Linked DNA regions of Saccharomyces cerevisiae S288C. Changing the gene in region 1 together with any one later gene gives a genetic interaction. Each region holds a gene or a part of one and is shown on either strand. Other genes may lie near its edges. The genes, in order: COG8, UME6, MON2 and ARL3.

Region 1 (4,326 bases):
GACCAGCGTAATGGAGGGGTTAGCAAGGGCAAACCCTTTGAGACTTGAATTGACTGGATCTGTGACTTCAAACGATTTAGCGGACATTTAAAATTTAGTCTTAGATATAGAATGTAATCTTATTCTTTGATGTGTTCGTTTACAGTTGCTACAAATAGTGACTACTTGTAGCGAAGTTGAAGTGATTTTCTCCTTATATATTTATTCATCAGTTAGTTCGACAGACGCTCGCGAGGTGGCCACTCTTTCAAAATGACGCAATTGGGAGTGGTTTGATCTTTCTCCCTTAGAAGCCAAATTGGCAAGCACTCACTCCGGGCCAGATTTACACCATGTTTGTAGCGCATTTAAATCAGGAAATGCATTATATTTCACTCTCTCGTCTAGCGAGTCTTAATGTTCATGACGGGGGAGCTTTATGCCTTGTTTTTTATCACAGCGCCAGACAATTGACAGTAACAAATAAAGGCAAAAAACCCTTGAATAGCACCAGAGGTGTTTACTGATTGCTTTTAAAGTACGTATAAAACTGTAAAATATAGATTAAATTCGACCGCCATTACTTTAGAGTTGAAATTGGGAAGCCGTATATTGCCATTTCAGCCATGCTTCTATGGTTCCTAATGGAAGCATGAATGACATACGCAATTTGATGAGCTTGAAAAGGGCGTAATTGACAAGCCAGATTTGAATCTAATCCCTTGAGAAATTATCTGCAAGTAGTAAAAAAATCTCTAAAAGATGTATAATTGAGTCGCCTAGAGACCTCATTCATCATGATATTTGACACCTTAATTTTGATAGTAGCGGGTCAGTCATTAAGAAGAAAGTGAGCTGGGGCTAATCATCAACGATCTCCCATAATTACGTACGTCAAAGACAACACGTTGGCAAAGGTAAGAAGAACGTAGTGCGTATCATGCTTACGGTGAATTTCACCCTTTTTTTCTGTTATTCGTGCTGATCCACGGGGTATTCAATTGAAGATATTATCTTTATCATCATATCGGTAAGCGTCTGGGAGAAGCAACTGGTCAAACGTTTTCAAAAACCATTCTTTAAACAACAAACCGATCAATGTTCTTGATCAGCTTATCAATCTATCCGATCTCCTGCGTTCAGCGTGACCGCCACACTTATGTCTAGATAATTTAACTTCCAGTTGCTAATTTCCCGCTAAAGTATCTTATGTTTACCATCACTGTAGCCGCCCTATCATATGCAACACTTCCATACTCATTTTCGGAATAAGAAGCAACTATCATCTAACGACTAGTATTTATATTACTGGTATATTACCATATTGGGTATAAGACGGTCAAATAAATATTGAGAAACAGTCACCAATTTTAATGGAAATTGAAATGAAAGGGTTGATAATGTGCTAGGAAAATGAACGAGAACATACAAAATGAAAGAAGAAATAATAATATTCCTACACAGAAATATCGGTTCTCTATTGTGGATTTTCATATTCTCGAGGAGAACCTCTAGTACATTTTGTGTATCTGGTATCACAGCGCTTGACAACTATAGAATTTAAACAATTATCTCATTCTTCATCCATCACTCAATCATATATATTAACCCCGGAAAAGTGCATTTTTGGTTTCTAATAACATTTGTATTAGTAATATTTGTTTACCCAACAATTCAAGAAATTTAGCTCGCGTGGCGTAATGGCAACGCGTCTGACTTCTAATCAGAAGATTATGGGTTCGACCCCCATCGTGAGTGCTTTGTTTCTTCTTTTTTGAATATGCTAATTCTAAATTTATAGGAAGAGTTGGATTTTCCTTTAGTTAGTTGTACTCTTGAAGTCCATTTTCTTTTTATACGTACATTAGATCGATCTCGCGATCATGGCTTCAATGTCTAAAAATATAGCGTAGTAACATACTGAAAAGAGAAGCACAGAAAAAATAATCATAGAAGTGTTAGGACATTTGAGGGAACATATTTCAACAATAAACATAATCATTGAGTAAAATGGAGCTGATACTAAACAGCCTCATTTCTGATGATTTAACAGAGGAACAAAAACGGTTAAGTCTTGATTTCCTACAGGATATCCTACAATCTAACACGAAAGACTATGAAAGTTATTTTTCATCTAGGGCTGTTCCTGGTAGCATAACTGAAGACATAGCAGAAATTGATGCTGAATTATCTGCCCTTGATAGAAAGATAAGGAAAACACTACTAGATAATACGTCTCAGATTATCGGAAATATTCTTGAAAACGATGATAGGGCTCAATTGGATGATATAGCCAAGTCTTTGGAGCAATTATGGGAATTGGATACTAATATTAATAAGGCAGCCGATCGAAACGTTACAAATGACGATATAAACAATGAAAGCGTTTCTATTGATGACTTTTTGGAAGACGATAAAGAAGACAACGACACAGGTCGCATCATGACGACTGAGAGTAACAATCTGGCAAGAAAGAAGAAGGAGGATGAGTTTCACAAGGCATTAAGTAGGTTAAGAAACAGAATTTCAACTAAAGAAGATGACAAGGACGACATTAGATCTGACACATTAGTCACTGTACTAGAAAATTTGGATAGCATTACGGATTTGATGGAACTACCATTTTTGGCCCGCACATGTATCAGAACAGGTCATTACCAGGAGGCCGTCATGCTATACACACACACTACTTCCCTGAGGTCAAGATTCCCTGGTTCAACCATTGTGGATGAAGTTTGCGAAAAAGTTTTAAACGAAATTAGTACTACCATGTTATCCGGGCTGGTAAAATTACTGTCTACTAATGTATCAGTAAACTCACTAAAGAAAATACTACAGTACTTGAATTCAATTCCACCATTTGATGGAAAGACTAATAAATCATTATTAAGTGTGTTTTTAGCCATGAGATACAAATTCATTACCGATGAAATAGCATCATATCCTTTGGACGTTGAGTCTTCTAATGAATCTTTAATTGAAATGATGGTTAAGAGGAAAATTGAAGTCCTCAGGGAACATGTCTACATGTCCTTGAATGTCTTTCTGAAAAGCTTCTTGTATGATACAAATGACTTAGAGATTCCTTTCCCAGAGGAACTAGAAAGTACTGTGCTAAGGATAAATGGGACTAACGAAGAGAAAGAAATTGAAGAAAAGGAGAAAGAAACAAAGAAGGAAGAATATCAAAAACAAGATAGCGTAGCGAACAATGAAGAAGATGTGACAGAAAATAAATCGATAGAAGATGTACAAGAGGAAGTACAAGGCAAAGTGGAAGGCGAAGATGATGGAGCAGAAAGGAAAACAGAAAATGAGATAGAAAATGAAACAGTAAACAAAACAGAAGACAAGGCTGAAAAAGAAAAAGAGGAAGAAGTAAATACCAAAGATAACAAGGCAGAAAAAGAGGAAGAAGAAATTAATAAGGTTGAGGTGACCCCAGAAGAGCCAAGCAAAAGCATAGATAACAAGGCAGAAAAAGAAGAAGAAGAAATTAATAAGGTTGAAGTGACCCCAGAGGAGCCAAGCAAAAAGATTCGGACTTCAAAAAGGGAAAACAAAATACCTACAAATGCAGTCATGTTGCAATTCGTTGATAAGTGCATAACATACGTATTAAAAGACCTCACTCGTGGGTTAAATAGCATCAAGCTGAGTGACTCCGTTTGCCTGCAGTTGGTGTACTGTTCATTCCGTCTTTGCGACCTGAATCGAAACTACCACCACCTCTTCCTAAAAAAAATCAATGACACTAGCTTGTTTACGACCGAGCAGCTCGCCCGGGCAATTGACAAGAGAGCAGAACTGGCCTCTAAATATATATACTCCTAGTATAATATTGGCTCACTATGTATTTTCAAAATGACGATCGTCCGAAATTTCCATTTTTTTATTTTTTTTTTTCACTTCTTCGCCAGCGCGAGAAGGGGGAGAAACAACAATACGAGAATGTATGTATACCTTTACAACACACTGCTGCAGTCAGAAAGGGAAAAAGGGATAATTGTACCTTACATCCTTTAGAATTGCACTTACCTTTTCCAATTGCGATACATTTCACTTTGATAGACAACTTTGCTTTTTAGCGTTACTTAATTTAATCAGTTTTCTTCTTAACAATATAAAGAGCATCATTAGCTAGCTTTGTTTATTGACATACGCAATATTGCTAGAAAGAAAATAAGTAGAGCTACGCATTGAAAGTCAAGAAAAATGACTGGCATCAAAGCTCAAGTCCATCCCCCACCTGATAGTACCCTATTTCATGAGGAGGAGAAGAAGAAAGTAGGAGGCAATTTACCTCAAAAGGTCATAAATCAACAAGAAAGGGGTTCTGATCACGCT
Region 2 (4,712 bases), on another chromosome or scaffold:
GCAGCAGCATTAGCAGCGTGATTATGGTTGGTGCCACGACTGTGTTGATAGTAGTGGTCATTCTCTGGCGGCAAAGAAGTGGTTGATTTGGATATCATATGATATTGCTTTGACTTTTGAGAAGGTTGTGGAAGTGGGTGAAGAGGCAAAGAAGTCATTGAGTGACTAATTTTAGTAGCAGAATTTGGTTTCATGCTGGTATCTCCATTGGCCAATTTTATTACATCTGAATCATCCATAGGTAGAATTTGAGAATGCTTGGAAGCGTGAAAGGGAATATTGGGCAGGTTTGAATCCTGAGTATTTCTTCTTTGCTTAATTGTCGTGGAAGTTGCTGTTACTGCCGATATTCTGGAAGATCGCCTCGAAACGCGCTTGTTTAGTAAAATATGATCGTCATTTAAGTCTTGTATATACGAATCTGTGTGAACAAGACTGGAATTGTCCAAATCCAAACAATTATTCGAGTTTAACGAGGGTGTTGTTATTTTCTTCGACTCCTTACCTTCGGGAAAACTATATTTCTGCATTTCCTTGTTACTAGTGCTATTTGGTCGGGGAGAAGTTATGGTGTTTGGATGATCATCATCCGTATTATTATTGCTGTTGTCATGCAAAGGATCAATTGATATTGAGTAGTTTCTCTTCACCAGCCTCGAATTATTTATTGTTGGGTTTAACTCTTCAATAGAGGTCGGAGTGGAAGACTCACCATCTGACAAGCGAGGACTTTCCATGTTTGACTCCGAATTCGATGAAGAATGGTAGCTAGTGTGATTATTGCGATCCTTTTTTATTCGATGGTTCGAATCCGGATTCGAATTCGAATTCGGCACCGAACGGTCTTGATGTCGCTCAATTATTGCAGAGTGCAATAGCGATGGTTCCTGTTCTGTTTTGCGACTGGTGGATGTTGTCAGATGTAGCGGTACAACTGAAGGAGGTTGTGATCGCAAGACTGACATGAGTTAGAAACTATTGATAGGGAAAAGCGATATAGGGCAACTGTCTCGGGGGGTGTAAACAGGTTTCGTACTCTCTTGCTTATGAATGTGCTACTTCTTGTTCCTATTTTTTGTTTCTGTCCTTGTTTTTTCTTTGCTTGTCCCTCCGTATTTGCTTCTTTGTTGTCACGCTTTTGTTATTTCCACCTCTATCTTTCCTCTCTGTCCCATTCCCCATCCATTCCTTTCTTTTTTTTTTTAACCTGTGTTTTGTTTTCCCAGAATGGGCGGCACGTTCTTATGTCCGTAAAAACGGATATACAAAAGCGACACGTCGTCTGAGGTGACACTCCACTCAACCCCACTTGCCCAAAACATGCATTGCTACAAGTAGTAGAGCGCAGTTTTTAAAGTCCATTGGTTGCACACGAAATCACGAGAATAATCACGAGAATAGAATGCACGTTGGATTTCGGGCATCCTATAATTGCCAAGACTGCGCTACTTCTCTTCTGTTTCGGTCCGGGTGACACGTCCGCCGTGCTTCAAGGCGCCTTTTCACCAATGCCAGGCGGAAACTGCCGCCGTCAAAAAGAAAAATGAAAAGAACATAGAGGACAAGGACAAGAGACCAGTGATCGTAAGAAGCGCCCACCTTCGCACAGCGCACAGGAACTAGGACACTACCGCACTCAAACCATTTGCATGGACCTTAACTCACGATGCTAGACAAGGCGCGCTCTCAAAGCAAACACATGGACGAATCTAATGCGGCTGCCTCTCTGCTTTCGATGGAAACAACCGCCAACAATCATCACTATTTGCACAATAAAACATCTCGTGCCACGCTGATGAATAGCAGCCAAGACGGCAAAAAACATGCAGAAGATGAAGTTAGTGATGGAGCTAACTCCCGCCATCCTACAATTTCCAGTGCTAGCATCGAATCTCTCAAGACAACCTACGATGAAAACCCTTTGCTTTCTATTATGAAATCGACATGTGCGCCCAACAACACTCCCGTGCATACTCCGTCTGGTTCGCCGAGTTTGAAAGTCCAAAGTGGCGGAGATATCAAAGACGATCCTAAGGAAAACGATACTACTACTACGACCAATACTACACTTCAAGATCGCCGTGACAGCGATAACGCTGTGCATGCTGCCGCCAGCCCACTCGCGCCTTCCAATACACCTTCGGATCCTAAGTCATTGTGCAATGGCCATGTCGCACAGGCTACAGACCCACAAATTTCCGGTGCTATTCAGCCGCAGTATACTGCAACCAACGAGGATGTTTTCCCTTACTCCTCCACCTCCACTAATAGTAACACTGCCACTACTACTATCGTCGCCGGCGCCAAAAAAAAAATACATTTGCCGCCACCACAAGCTCCAGCGGTTTCTTCCCCCGGTACCACCGCAGCAGGCTCGGGCGCGGGCACGGGCTCGGGCATCCGTTCCCGCACAGGATCGGATTTGCCGCTCATCATTACCAGCGCCAACAAGAACAACGGTAAGACTACCAATTCGCCTATGTCGATACTGAGCAGAAACAACAGTACCAACAACAACGACAATAATTCGATACAAAGCTCAGATTCGAGAGAATCCTCTAATAACAATGAGATTGGCGGGTATTTGCGCGGCGGAACTAAGCGCGGCGGCAGTCCATCTAACGACTCTCAGGTCCAGCATAATGTGCATGATGACCAATGTGCCGTGGGCGTGGCGCCCAGGAACTTCTATTTCAACAAGGATAGAGAGATAACAGACCCAAATGTAAAACTGGACGAGAACGAATCAAAAATCAACATATCGTTCTGGCTAAATTCGAAATACAGAGATGAGGCTTATTCTTTGAATGAATCATCCTCCAACAATGCTAGTTCAAACACGGATACGCCTACAAACTCTCGACATGCGAACACCAGCTCTTCCATTACCAGCAGAAACAATTTCCAGCATTTTAGGTTCAACCAAATACCTTCTCAACCTCCAACTTCCGCATCTTCGTTTACAAGCACAAACAACAACAACCCTCAACGGAACAATATCAATCGCGGTGAAGACCCGTTTGCCACTTCGTCAAGACCTTCTACTGGGTTTTTTTACGGCGATTTGCCGAATCGTAACAATAGAAATAGTCCCTTCCATACAAATGAACAATACATCCCACCACCTCCACCGAAATACATCAATTCTAAATTGGATGGATTGAGATCAAGATTATTGCTCGGTCCGAATTCTGCATCTTCATCTACCAAACTAGACGACGACTTGGGTACAGCAGCAGCAGTGCTATCAAACATGAGATCATCCCCATATAGAACTCATGATAAACCCATTTCCAATGTCAATGACATGAATAACACAAATGCGCTCGGTGTGCCGGCTAGTAGGCCTCATTCGTCATCTTTTCCATCAAAGGGTGTCTTAAGACCAATTCTGTTACGTATCCATAATTCCGAACAACAACCCATTTTCGAAAGCAACAATTCTACAGCTGTTTTTGATGAAGACCAGGACCAAAATCAAGACTTGTCTCCTTACCATTTAAATCTAAACTCTAAAAAGGTTTTAGATCCCACTTTTGAGTCAAGGACAAGGCAAGTTACTTGGAATAAGAATGGTAAGCGAATAGACAGACGCCTTTCTGCTCCAGAACAACAACAGCAACTGGAAGTTCCACCATTGAAAAAATCGAGAAGGTCAGTTGGAAACGCAAGAGTAGCAAGCCAAACCAATAGCGATTATAATTCTCTTGGCGAATCCTCAACTTCGTCAGCTCCATCGTCTCCATCTTTGAAGGCTTCTTCTGGCTTGGCATATACCGCTGATTATCCTAACGCTACTTCGCCGGATTTCGCTAAATCTAAAGGAAAAAATGTCAAGCCTAAGGCAAAATCAAAGGCGAAACAGTCATCAAAGAAAAGACCAAATAATACTACTTCGAAATCAAAAGCAAACAATTCTCAAGAATCGAATAATGCTACTTCCTCAACGTCTCAAGGTACAAGGTCCCGTACTGGTTGCTGGATTTGTAGATTAAGGAAAAAGAAGTGTACCGAGGAAAGACCGCACTGTTTCAACTGTGAAAGGTTGAAATTGGACTGTCACTATGACGCGTTCAAACCAGATTTTGTATCTGATCCAAAGAAAAAACAGATGAAACTGGAGGAAATCAAGAAAAAAACAAAAGAGGCCAAAAGAAGAGCAATGAAAAAAAAATAAAAGCTCACTGAAAAAAAAAAAGAGATATTGTTACTATTATTATTATTATTACTGTCATTAATACTATACTAATAAAGAAAAGGAAAATACGCATAATAATATTTAATTAACAATAATATAACATATATATATATATATATATATGTATGTACTACCATGTAATTTCAAAGACTTTCAAAAGAAGTTATACGTCAATTCTCGTGTACAAATCAGTCAAACTGTAATTCATTCGTACTGATAAGCCAAATTTCTACCTAGTATTCATATGAAGATTTGAAAAACTATGATAAAAAACGAACAATATTAAAACATATTATTCCGACTGTTTCCCCTCATGCTGTCCGTGTTGCTTTGGGCGTCAAAAGGAAATTGCATGTACTTCCCCACATCTTGCTGCATAGGTTGTTGAAACATTTGCCGTTGCGCTTGCGCATATGCTGACGACGGCGCAGATGTCTGGTACTGGTCACCTAGCCACGTTGGATTTGCAAAATTCATTGACTTTAATGAGTAAGCTTCGCTCTGCCATTGTAAA
Region 3 (6,934 bases), on another chromosome or scaffold:
AAACAGTTTCTTTGTGCCCTTTGATTTGCTCACATAAACGGCCAGGGGCAAGTGTTCTCTCTTGAACTCATTATGTATGGATAGCTTTGTCAATTTTTTGAATTCTCTAGCAAGTATCTTATTTAACTTAGTTAGTTCATTGCGGAACAGTTCCTGATCATTTTTGATAAATGTGTGTTTGTATGCATAATTTTTCTGTTTATGTTCAAAGTCGCTTCTTGCTTTTAACATTTTCTGTCTTTTACTTGTATTTGCACTTGAATATCCAGATTCTTGAAGGGGTTTTGTATTGTAAAGTGACTCGTGCAAACGGGATTTATTATGGTATAAATTCACTAACTCTGGGGTGTCATTGATTCTTCGATTGTGAAACTGAAGTTTTATCATAGTAGGCTTTCTTGCATTCTTCGCTTGACTTTTTCTCTCAATACGCAAAAGTTTAAATGGCTTCATTTTCAGAATAATATTTTTGGGCACATATTTGAAAGGCATGTCATTATAAACCATGCCACTTATAGATGCGTCCCACGGTATTACGGGTTTACGTTTGTGCGAAGATGGTAACTGTTCCATACTATGAATGCTTTCTCTCAAACTTGTTCTTTGTAAGTCCTCAATAATCTCCTGCACATTGAGTTTGCCATCTTTCTCGGAAGCGTCCACTACCTGTATATTGGGAAGAACGTCGTCTAACTCATGAAAGTTTTTACCCTTTCTTGCATCAGACGGAAAACCTGAGTTCCCCAGAAACAAGGGTCGATAGCCGGCAAACAGGCCCTCCGTGTGAACCTCTTTATTCGAAATATAGTCTGTAGACGCAACTCTAGGAACCAATAAATGCAAATTAGAACCAGATATCTTCGATCTGCTGTTATATGCGAGGTCTGTGGGCTGCTTTCCCTGCTGCGCTAGCGACTCAGCATGCGAATCTCCCTCTTTAATAACTGTTTCACCATCATATGCTCGTTTCATCTTCGACGGTACCCTCCCCAAATCTTTGGAAGAATCCTTTTCTTCATTGCAATCACCTTTCTCATCTCTCCCTCCACCCTTGCCTGACATATGTCTACAGCTCACTCTAGTCATATTTTGCCTAAGAGCACCACGTCGGATGAAATTGGGGCAGTACAGTACAAGCCTTCGAAGTGCTTGGTGTTCCATGACGTAACGTACGACTAAATCTCACTACTTCTGCAATGATCTAATGATACGGTCTGCTTTCACCAAAAATTGAGCACACTAAAGGGGTATACCAATATTGTCCTAGCAGCTAACAAATACTCTCTTCAGATCGAGTTGCAGACTTCCTCAAACCTCCTGCTCTTATTCTTCATAAAGTCATTGCGAAGTCTTCATTATCCCACTTTCTGATAAAGCCGGCTGGTCGTCGTGGATGACCTTTAAATCGTCCGTGTTAATAATTAAGGTGACCTAAGCCCAGCTAAATAAAGCCTGTAGACTGTATGCAATACAAGTGATTTTCAAAGAAAGTAAACCAACTTGACCTGTTACACACCATTCATATGGCCATGAACACTGGAGGGTTTGACTCCATGCAAAGGCAACTTGAAGCAGAATTGCGTTCTTTATCTTCCGAATCGAAAAGAAGAAATTCAACCATTCGCCATGCTAGTGATAAATCCATTGAGATATTGAAAAGAGTACATAGTTTTGAGGAGCTAGAAAGACATCCGGATTTCGCACTCCCTTTCGTGTTGGCTTGCCAATCAAGGAATGCTAAAATGACGACCCTGGCAATGCAATGCCTACAGGGACTGTCAACCGTTCCATCTATTCCTCGAAGCCGGCTGTCTGAAATTTTGGATGCCTTCATTGAGGCTACTCATCTCGCGATGGAGATTCAATTAAAAGTTTTACAGGTGGTACCCATTTTTTTTAAGACATACGGGAAGTTCATCTATGGGCCGCTTTGTAAGAAGTTGTTGCTGTGTTGCTCAAATCTGCTGCATGTACCTAATAAGGCACCCGTAGTAGTTGGTACTGCGAGTGCCACTTTACAGCAGCTTATCGATGAAATATTTGATAGGCTTTCCATTGAATCTGTAGTGGATGATAAACAATATGAAGTCCTCATAAGTAATAGTGAGTCAATTAAGGTCAATGTTTATAGATACGATGCTAACAAATTGTTCGATAATATCTGTTCATTAAATGAAATAAGCTCAAATGGGGCAGTTAGTGACGAGGAGATGCTGTTAGACATTGGGGACATCCCAATAGACTATGGCCTGGAAATCCTTGAATCGATTTTGAAGAATAGTCAGAAAAATCTTTTAGAATGCCAAGATTTACAATATCTACTGAGAGTTAAGGCGATTCCATTGCTTCTACGTTGCATATCTTCTTCGAGACACTTCTCCACCGCTGTAAGGAGTTGTCGTTGTTTGAAGTTGTTGATAAGAAAAGAGTACCTAAGCATACTCGAGTTAGAATTAGAGGTCATCTTGTCGCTGTTAATCCATGGCATATCTGTCGAATCCAATTTAAGTGGATGGCAAAGAGTACTATCTCTAGAACTTTTCAAGGATTTATCACAAGACCCCGAAATCGTCAATACACTCTATATGGACTATGATAATTATCCAGATAAAAAACATGTGTTCAAATATCTTTTGAAAGAATGTATTGTCTTATTAAATTCGCCAGAGTATATTACTTTCTTGGCGCCATCAAAAGTAGTCGAGAAAATGGATTCTCCCTTGATAACTACTGAAAACTCTACAGTTAAAACAAAGTTTATGCATTTATTGGACAAATCAAACGCTCCGTCCATTAATATTACTTACATTATATCATTAATTCTGACCATCTGTAACCACTTATGCGAGGGGTTGAACAAATCGGCTCTGGAAAGCTCTCCCCTAGAGAAGAAAATTGAGGACAAAGAACGTGAAGAGGGAACTGGAAATGATTCGACAGTTGTAAAGGTTTATAGCGGCCTGTTTTCTGGCCTATTTGAGCTAAACAAACTCTTTTTATATTCGACCTCCTTAGAGACATCGATATTCCACTTGGTGGTTAGAGCTTTTCAAAAATTAGCTCATAGTGCCGGCGTTCTGTCACTAAAGGACAAATTAAGGGCATGCATGAAATTGTTTTCGATTTTGATAACAAACAACGTTACATCATCCAATCAATATTCTTTTAATGATACAAGTAAGTCAGCAAAAAATCAACATACAAGAAATATATCCACATCTAGTGTCACGACCAGTCCCGTAGAATCAACAAAAAATCCAAGTAGGTCGATTGCAGATTCTGCGCAAAATAAGGAAATGAAAAGGCGTTTGCACCCCAGGAATATTAGTTCAAGACAAGTTAGTTTACTAAGGGCATTAATATCATTATCAATATCACTAGGTCCTATTTTCGATTCAGAAAGCTGGAGGTACACTTTTTTAACCTGGCAATGGATAACTTACTACATATATGGTCCATCAGCAGATTTCAAAGAGAGCTTTTACTCTGAAGATATTCCACCACCTCCAATACTGACTAAATCAGACGTTACATCTATTGAAAGCTCTCTAACGAAATTTTTTGAAAGTACAAGCAGCTATTCTTGCTCAACTTTTCATTTGGTATTAACCAGATTAATTTTGGACTCAAAAAATACCCTCACTTTAGAACAAACGAACCTCAACCTGAATAATGACATTGGCTATCATCCTTTAGATGCAAAAGATGAAATTATACCATGCATTTACAACAAGGCGTTTTTTGTTAACAAAATTGGTGAACTGGCAACTTATAATTGCAAAAAATTTCTCTTTGGAAAAAATGGTAAAGAACTTTGGAGTTTGATTTCCACCTATATGATCAAATTGATATCAAACCGTGAAATGGATAACGATTCTTTACGTTTATACACAGTGAGAGTGTTTACAGATATCATCAAAAAGGCTACTAATGAGGTTGGTAATTCCGATGAGCAAGATAATAAAGTGAAACAGTTTGGTACATTGGAAAACTTAGTCATCGATAGCTTGATGGCAACGATAAACTCGATAAAACAGTTGGATATTGGTAAGCAGGAAATATACAATGGGACGATCAATGTTGAATCAGATATTCTTTTTCAATTGCTACTAACTTTAAAAGAGATTCTGAACGAATTTGGTGAACTGTTAATGAACTCTTGGACCAATATTTTCAACATCATTAATTCACCATTCGAGTGGACAGTTGAGGATACTGATTTTTCCGTGAATGAGGATATAGATGATTCATCTTTATTTGAAGGTATCGTTCAGAAGCATAAGAACATGATCCAAGTGTCATACGATGTTTTTAAACTAATTTCTGATGATTTCTTACAGAGTTTACCTATGAGTGTCATTAAATTCGTTATTGATACGCTTGTCAATTTCGTAAGTCAGAAGCGAAATCTTAATATCTCCTTTTCTTCTATTAGTCAGTTCTGGTTAGTTGGAGATTATCTCAGAGTCCGCTTCAATCCCGAAACATTAAATTTAAGTGATGAGAAACGTAGAAGTCTCTCCGAAAAGATTAATAATCAAAAATTAATTGAAATCATTACATCCAGTTCATCTCATGATTGGGAACTTTACAACGGATTATGGATATATCTTTTGAAAAATTTGATCAATTGTACTAATGATGATAGAGTAGAAGTTAAAAACGGTGCTGTGCAGACTTTTTTCAGAATCATCGACTCCCATTCTGTTTGCTTCCCCCCATGGGACCTAATTTTCTTAGAGGTTATTGAACCACTGCTTACCAAGGAATGGTCCACTGAAGAACTCGAAAATGAAACTGATTTTATAAATGTAACATTGCAAGGATTAATTAAGCTTTATCCGGAACACTTTAAGGACTTCAAAAACAACACTACCTGCGCCAAGGAATGGTCAATGTTATTAGATTTTTTGAAAAGATTGTTGTCTTCCACTTCTAATAATACCAAGAATGCTGTAATATTAAATTATCAAACCCTGCTGAAAGAAATCATCACTATTGAGGACGTTCCATCAGATATATTGAAAAAGTGCTGCGAAATATTTACCGACTACAATATTACGTACAGTGATCTCTCCACAAACGCATCGAGCAAAACTGAATACGATTGTATATACGAACTAATAACCGGATTTCCTCCTCTTTACCAATTAATATCGAAATACGATGCGATGACAGATGAATTTGTGGAAAAAGTTCTTCTTTTATTCAATTCTGCCATAAAATATCCTCTCTTACCTGAGTTTGTCCAAGACAAAACTAAACCGTCCTCTATGCAAAAGGCCATATTGTCTGGACTTGATATATTTATGACAAATGATTCTAAAGATACAGAAATTTTGATTCTTCTCCAGTTAAGTACAATATCGATATTGGCTTTTGATACAAGGGAAAAAATAACAAAAAAACTTGGACCAAAGCTTCCAAAAGCATCACTTAACAGGTTACCAACTTTTGAGGCAATCAGCTATATGTCATGTTCTAACCTGAGAAATAGAATAGCAAAAATAGATCAATTTGGTATATCCACACTGAAAGCAAAGCATATTTTAAGAATATTGAAAAATTTGGCTGAAATCATCAAGCGAAAATCGCTTATTACAGGGTCAGAGAGTGATGAAATCCCCATATGGGTTCTTGCTTCCAATTGCTTCTGTGATTTGTCGAACAAAATTTTCAAATCACTCCAAGAAGATGCAGAAAATCCATTAAAGGATAACTTTTGTGATTTATTTATAAATGTTATTGTTGTCACATTACAAAGAATCAACCCAGAGCTCGATAATTTAACCGAGATAGACGATTTGAATGAGTATTCCAAATATAGGGAGATATTGCTGGAAAACAGAATCATTGATCTCTTCAATGAAAGGCAATTAGACACTTTCATTTATGCCGTCTGGGATTGTTCATTTTTATATGAATTCGATGAATTAGAAAATGCTTTGATGCAAGACTGTGGTACGTTTTCTGAATTGTCTCAAAAACTATCTTCGTTCGATTTTTCATGTATATTTGGATCCACCACAAATCCTCGCTTTCAGACAAAATATAAGTGCTCTTTAGAGTGCTTGCAAGATTTGGTTAATTTTATGTTGAACACAAACGAGAAATTAAGAAAGTTAACTGCTCCTTATCTTTCTGCAAGAATTGCCCTTGCTCTTAGAAGATATATCTCAGATGAATACTTGATTGGGCGAGCACCAATACCAAAATTGCGTAAAACAGAACTAGCTACTCTATTAAATGGGCTATGCGTGATTTTAAGAGGTGTTCTAGATCAAAATTCGACCCTTGGCAACAAACAAATTGGAGTTGAAAACCTACAAACATTAAGTCCGTTGATTTTAAGAACCATCCCAGTATCTCATAAAATGGATGGCCTCCAAGATAAAGTTTTGGAATTATCACTTGGATTTACGAAACTAGACTAGAAGCTGAAGCATGGACGAATATTTTTAAAAATCACGTAGGATAAATAGTAATATTAAACGACATTGGATTGATTATTGTATCGTTGCAGGTCTTTTTTTATTTACTTTAAAAAAAAAACTTTTAAGGTGAACGTATTTATATATTATGCCATTGGTATGCATAGCTAAAAGAAAAGAAATACATAAGATTGTAGTATGTATGATATGCTTATAGAAATAGTTGTGTGCTTCATTCCTTCCACTCCAACAGTGATGTCAAATCCTTTGGATCACATGCCATATTGAAAAAACCGTGGTGTAAAAGCTCTTCGGTTGATGCCCTATATCTAACATCTACGCAAAGGCAAACGCTTAGAAAGCGTTTAATTTCTAAAGACAAACTTTCTGGATGCTTGAGCTTTGGTGTACCATTAGTTGCAATTAAGTACAACGCCTTTAGTGGATCTTCATTTAAATATGGTGGTTCACCCTCCAGCATTTCAATGGTCATGATACCCAAA
Region 4 (3,045 bases), on another chromosome or scaffold:
GTGAGACAAAGCACGCCTTTGGTGGTGATCCTCTATGATTGATATACGATGGCACCATGAACCCTAGCGTCGTTTCATTACCACCATAAGATTTGATCTTTTCCTTAATGGCATTCACGGTGGCATTTCTAATGGCCTCTCCCTCTAAAGATTGCTTCAATTCGGCTTCTTCCTGTTCACTTTGTATACGCCTTTGTTCCTCTGCACTAATTTTTGCAATAGGTTGCAAAGATTTCGGAAGGTATGGTGTAACATACTGTTCAGACATCTGCTTTGTTTTTGGATGATTTATTGTCACCATTAGCGCAAGCACGAAAACAAACGAAATCAACAGAAAGCGTGCTATTTTTTTGCTCAGCAGTACGTGCATCTTACCTTATCTTATCTTCACTAAAGGGCACAAAAGGTTGGGTGAACGCTTAGTATCCCTCTAGTCTTGTATACTCGTACACATTATAAGTACATTTAACAAATCTCATCCACATTTCTCGAATAAATATCACATGTAACTTGAAGGTTATTTTTATATTTTTTTTTCCTGTGAAGGAACAACTCGTGTCTCACGAGAGCGCCACTTAAAAAACGAAAAGATAATCGGCGATGACTATATATGTATGTGATTGAGAATAAAAATATGGAAAGATAAAAGACCTAGTAACGTTGTATTTCAATAGTGAGGATAACATAAAGAAGTAAAAAGATCTTTGAAAATGTATGAAGTAATACAGAAAAGGAAAACAAAAATAATAAACGTTTTACAGAGTCCTGAACTCATGAGGCTCATAGAGGACCCATCAAATCTGGGTATTTCTTTACATTTTCCAGTAAGTTCACTGCTAAAAAGTAATAAGTGCACACCAATGCCTAAACTTTCTACGTATAGTTTGGCTAGTGGGGGATTTAAGGATTGGTGCGCGTGACATCCCTCTAGACGTTCCACCAGAGATTGATATCATCGATTTTTACTGGGATGTTATTTTATGCATGGAATCTCAATTCATATTAGATTACAATGTTCCGTCAAAAAATAAGGGGAACAATCAGAAGTCTGTTGCTAAGCTGTTGAAAAATAAGCTTGTAAACGATATGAAAACTACGTTAAAAAGACTAATTTATAATGAAAATACCAAGCAATATAAAAATAATAATAGCCACGATGGTTACAATTGGAGAAAACTAGGCTCGCAGTATTTCATACTGTATCTTCCCCTATTTACGCAGGAACTGATTTGGTGTAAACTTAATGAAAACTATTTCCATGTTGTATTACCATCTTTACTGAATAGTAGGAACGTTCATGATAACCACAGTACCTATATAAATAAAGATTGGTTACTTGCCCTTTTAGAGCTAACTTCCAACCTGAACCAAAACTTCAAATTCGAATACATGAAATTGAGATTGTATATTTTAAGAGATGATTTAATTAATAATGGTTTGGATCTTTTGAAAAATCTTAACTGGGTCGGTGGGAAACTGATTAAAAATGAAGATAGAGAAGTCTTGTTGAACTCGACCGATTTAGCTACGGATTCTATTTCTCATTTATTAGGTGATGAAAACTTTGTTATTTTAGAGTTTGAATGCTAAGCAGTTATATTCAGTTAGAAGCATATATCCCACCATTAAATAAGTTAACATACTACTGCATTTTTATTTTATGTTTAAGAGCAGATACGTCAATGTAGCTTGCATATGTACGTATCCTCCCCCACCTCCTATTTTCTACTTTGAACTTTATGGGAGTGTTAGTATAAGAAATATGTTTACACCTTTTTCAGACAAATGTAAACGGAAAATTAAAAAACGAATTCAGATCGATGTGTTAATCAAGTAGATGAAGGAGAATAAAGCATATAAAGCGCACCGCACACATGTTTCATTTAGTCAAGGGACTTTACAATAATTGGAATAAAAAGGAACAATATTCAATTCTAATATTAGGTCTAGACAATGCAGGCAAAACGACGTTCTTGGAGACATTGAAAAAGGAATACTCTCTGGCGTTCAAAGCCTTGGAAAAGATACAGCCTACGGTAGGACAAAATGTGGCGACAATACCCGTTGACAGTAAACAGATCTTGAAGTTTTGGGATGTAGGTGGTCAAGAATCACTGAGATCAATGTGGTCCGAATACTATTCCCTATGTCATGGTATAATTTTCATTGTGGATAGTTCAGATAGAGAACGATTAGACGAATGTTCCACGACCCTACAGTCAGTTGTAATGGATGAAGAAATTGAAGGTGTACCCATCTTGATGCTGGCCAATAAACAAGATAGACAAGATAGAATGGAAGTACAAGATATAAAAGAAGTATTTAATAAGATTGCGGAACATATAAGCGCTAGAGATAGTAGGGTTTTACCAATAAGCGCATTGACTGGAGAAGGTGTTAAAGACGCTATAGAATGGATGATTGTTAGACTAGAAAGGAATAAAAAGTCAAGACCACCGATTTATAAATGATAAAGAAGCACCAAAAGAAATAAAATGTGAATGGTTTATTCTCAAGCTCAGAAATTAGTTGTTGTAGCACTTTTTATTCGGCATTTTTTAATATACATGTGTAAATTATATATATATATATATGAATATATATCTTGTTTTGTTTATTTTCAACTAATAATCGCAACAATATTATCTTTCAATAACGCTATAGCTTCTGTATGCTTTTTGCTCAGTTGCTCAATGGTTCTCTTCCTCTATGTGATAAACCAAATAGTTTGGTAAGCCAAATACATCGTAGTTTAATCTCTTCGCCATCTTAGCAAAACCTTCTGTTTCAATCAAGTGATAAAATGGGAAATTAGGGAACATGGCACCGTCTCTGTGAACTTCTGCTTTGACCAAAGTACAGCCTCCACCAACACCATCCAGCGCCATCTCTTCACCTGGTACGCCATTAGCATCGTAGAAATGAGCCATTAATGGCCTATAAGTGGCAATTTCTGCATAACCCTCGACAATAATCTCGTCATCACCCATCTGAGAGGCTATTTCTAAACCGGTGTCACTTTCTTGCCAGTTGTTGAAATCGTAT

The links.
Region 2: mutations in COG8 (region 1) and UME6 together harm fitness more than expected from each alone (negative genetic interaction), as found in Saccharomyces cerevisiae (5 studies listed by BioGRID, with this or other methods).
Region 3: mutations in COG8 (region 1) and MON2 together harm fitness more than expected from each alone (negative genetic interaction), as found in Saccharomyces cerevisiae (5 studies listed by BioGRID).
Region 4: mutations in COG8 (region 1) and ARL3 together harm fitness more than expected from each alone (negative genetic interaction), as found in Saccharomyces cerevisiae (7 studies listed by BioGRID, with this or other methods).

Annotation. Positions count from the first base shown.
Region 1 is NC_001145.3:129,236-133,561, reverse strand, and holds COG8 (Golgi transport complex subunit COG8), read left to right. Parts: upstream 1-1,989; coding exon 1,990-3,813; downstream 3,814-4,326. Other genes in the region: DAK1 (dihydroxyacetone kinase), read right to left, coding at 1-87; TCB3 (Tcb3p), read left to right, coding at 4,195-4,326. UniProt on the Saccharomyces cerevisiae protein: Acts as a component of the peripheral membrane COG complex that is involved in intra-Golgi protein trafficking.
Region 2 is NC_001136.10:864,477-869,188, reverse strand, and holds UME6 (DNA-binding transcriptional regulator UME6), read left to right. Parts: upstream 1-1,666; coding exon 1,667-4,177; downstream 4,178-4,712. Other genes in the region: MSS4 (1-phosphatidylinositol-4-phosphate 5-kinase), read right to left, coding at 1-965; EBS1 (Ebs1p), read right to left, coding at 4,481-4,712. UniProt on the Saccharomyces cerevisiae protein: Component of the RPD3C(L) histone deacetylase complex (HDAC) responsible for the deacetylation of lysine residues on the N-terminal part of the core histones (H2A, H2B, H3 and H4).
Region 3 is NC_001146.8:71,173-78,106, reverse strand, and holds MON2 (Mon2p), read left to right. Parts: upstream 1-1,523; coding exon 1,524-6,434; downstream 6,435-6,934. Other genes in the region: MRX6 (Mrx6p), read right to left, coding at 1-1,161; serine/threonine protein kinase CLA4, read right to left, coding at 6,664-6,934. UniProt on the Saccharomyces cerevisiae protein: Required for traffic between late Golgi and early endosomes. Required for endocytosis and maintenance of vacuolar structure.
Region 4 is NC_001148.4:458,089-461,133, forward strand, and holds ARL3 (Arf family GTPase ARL3), read left to right. Parts: upstream 1-1,874; coding exon 1,875-2,471; downstream 2,472-3,045. Other genes in the region: KTR6 (putative mannosyltransferase), read right to left, coding at 1-370; mannosyltransferase complex subunit MNN9, read right to left, coding at 2,691-3,045. UniProt on the Saccharomyces cerevisiae protein: Involved in the targeting of ARL1 to the Golgi. Can bind and hydrolyze GTP.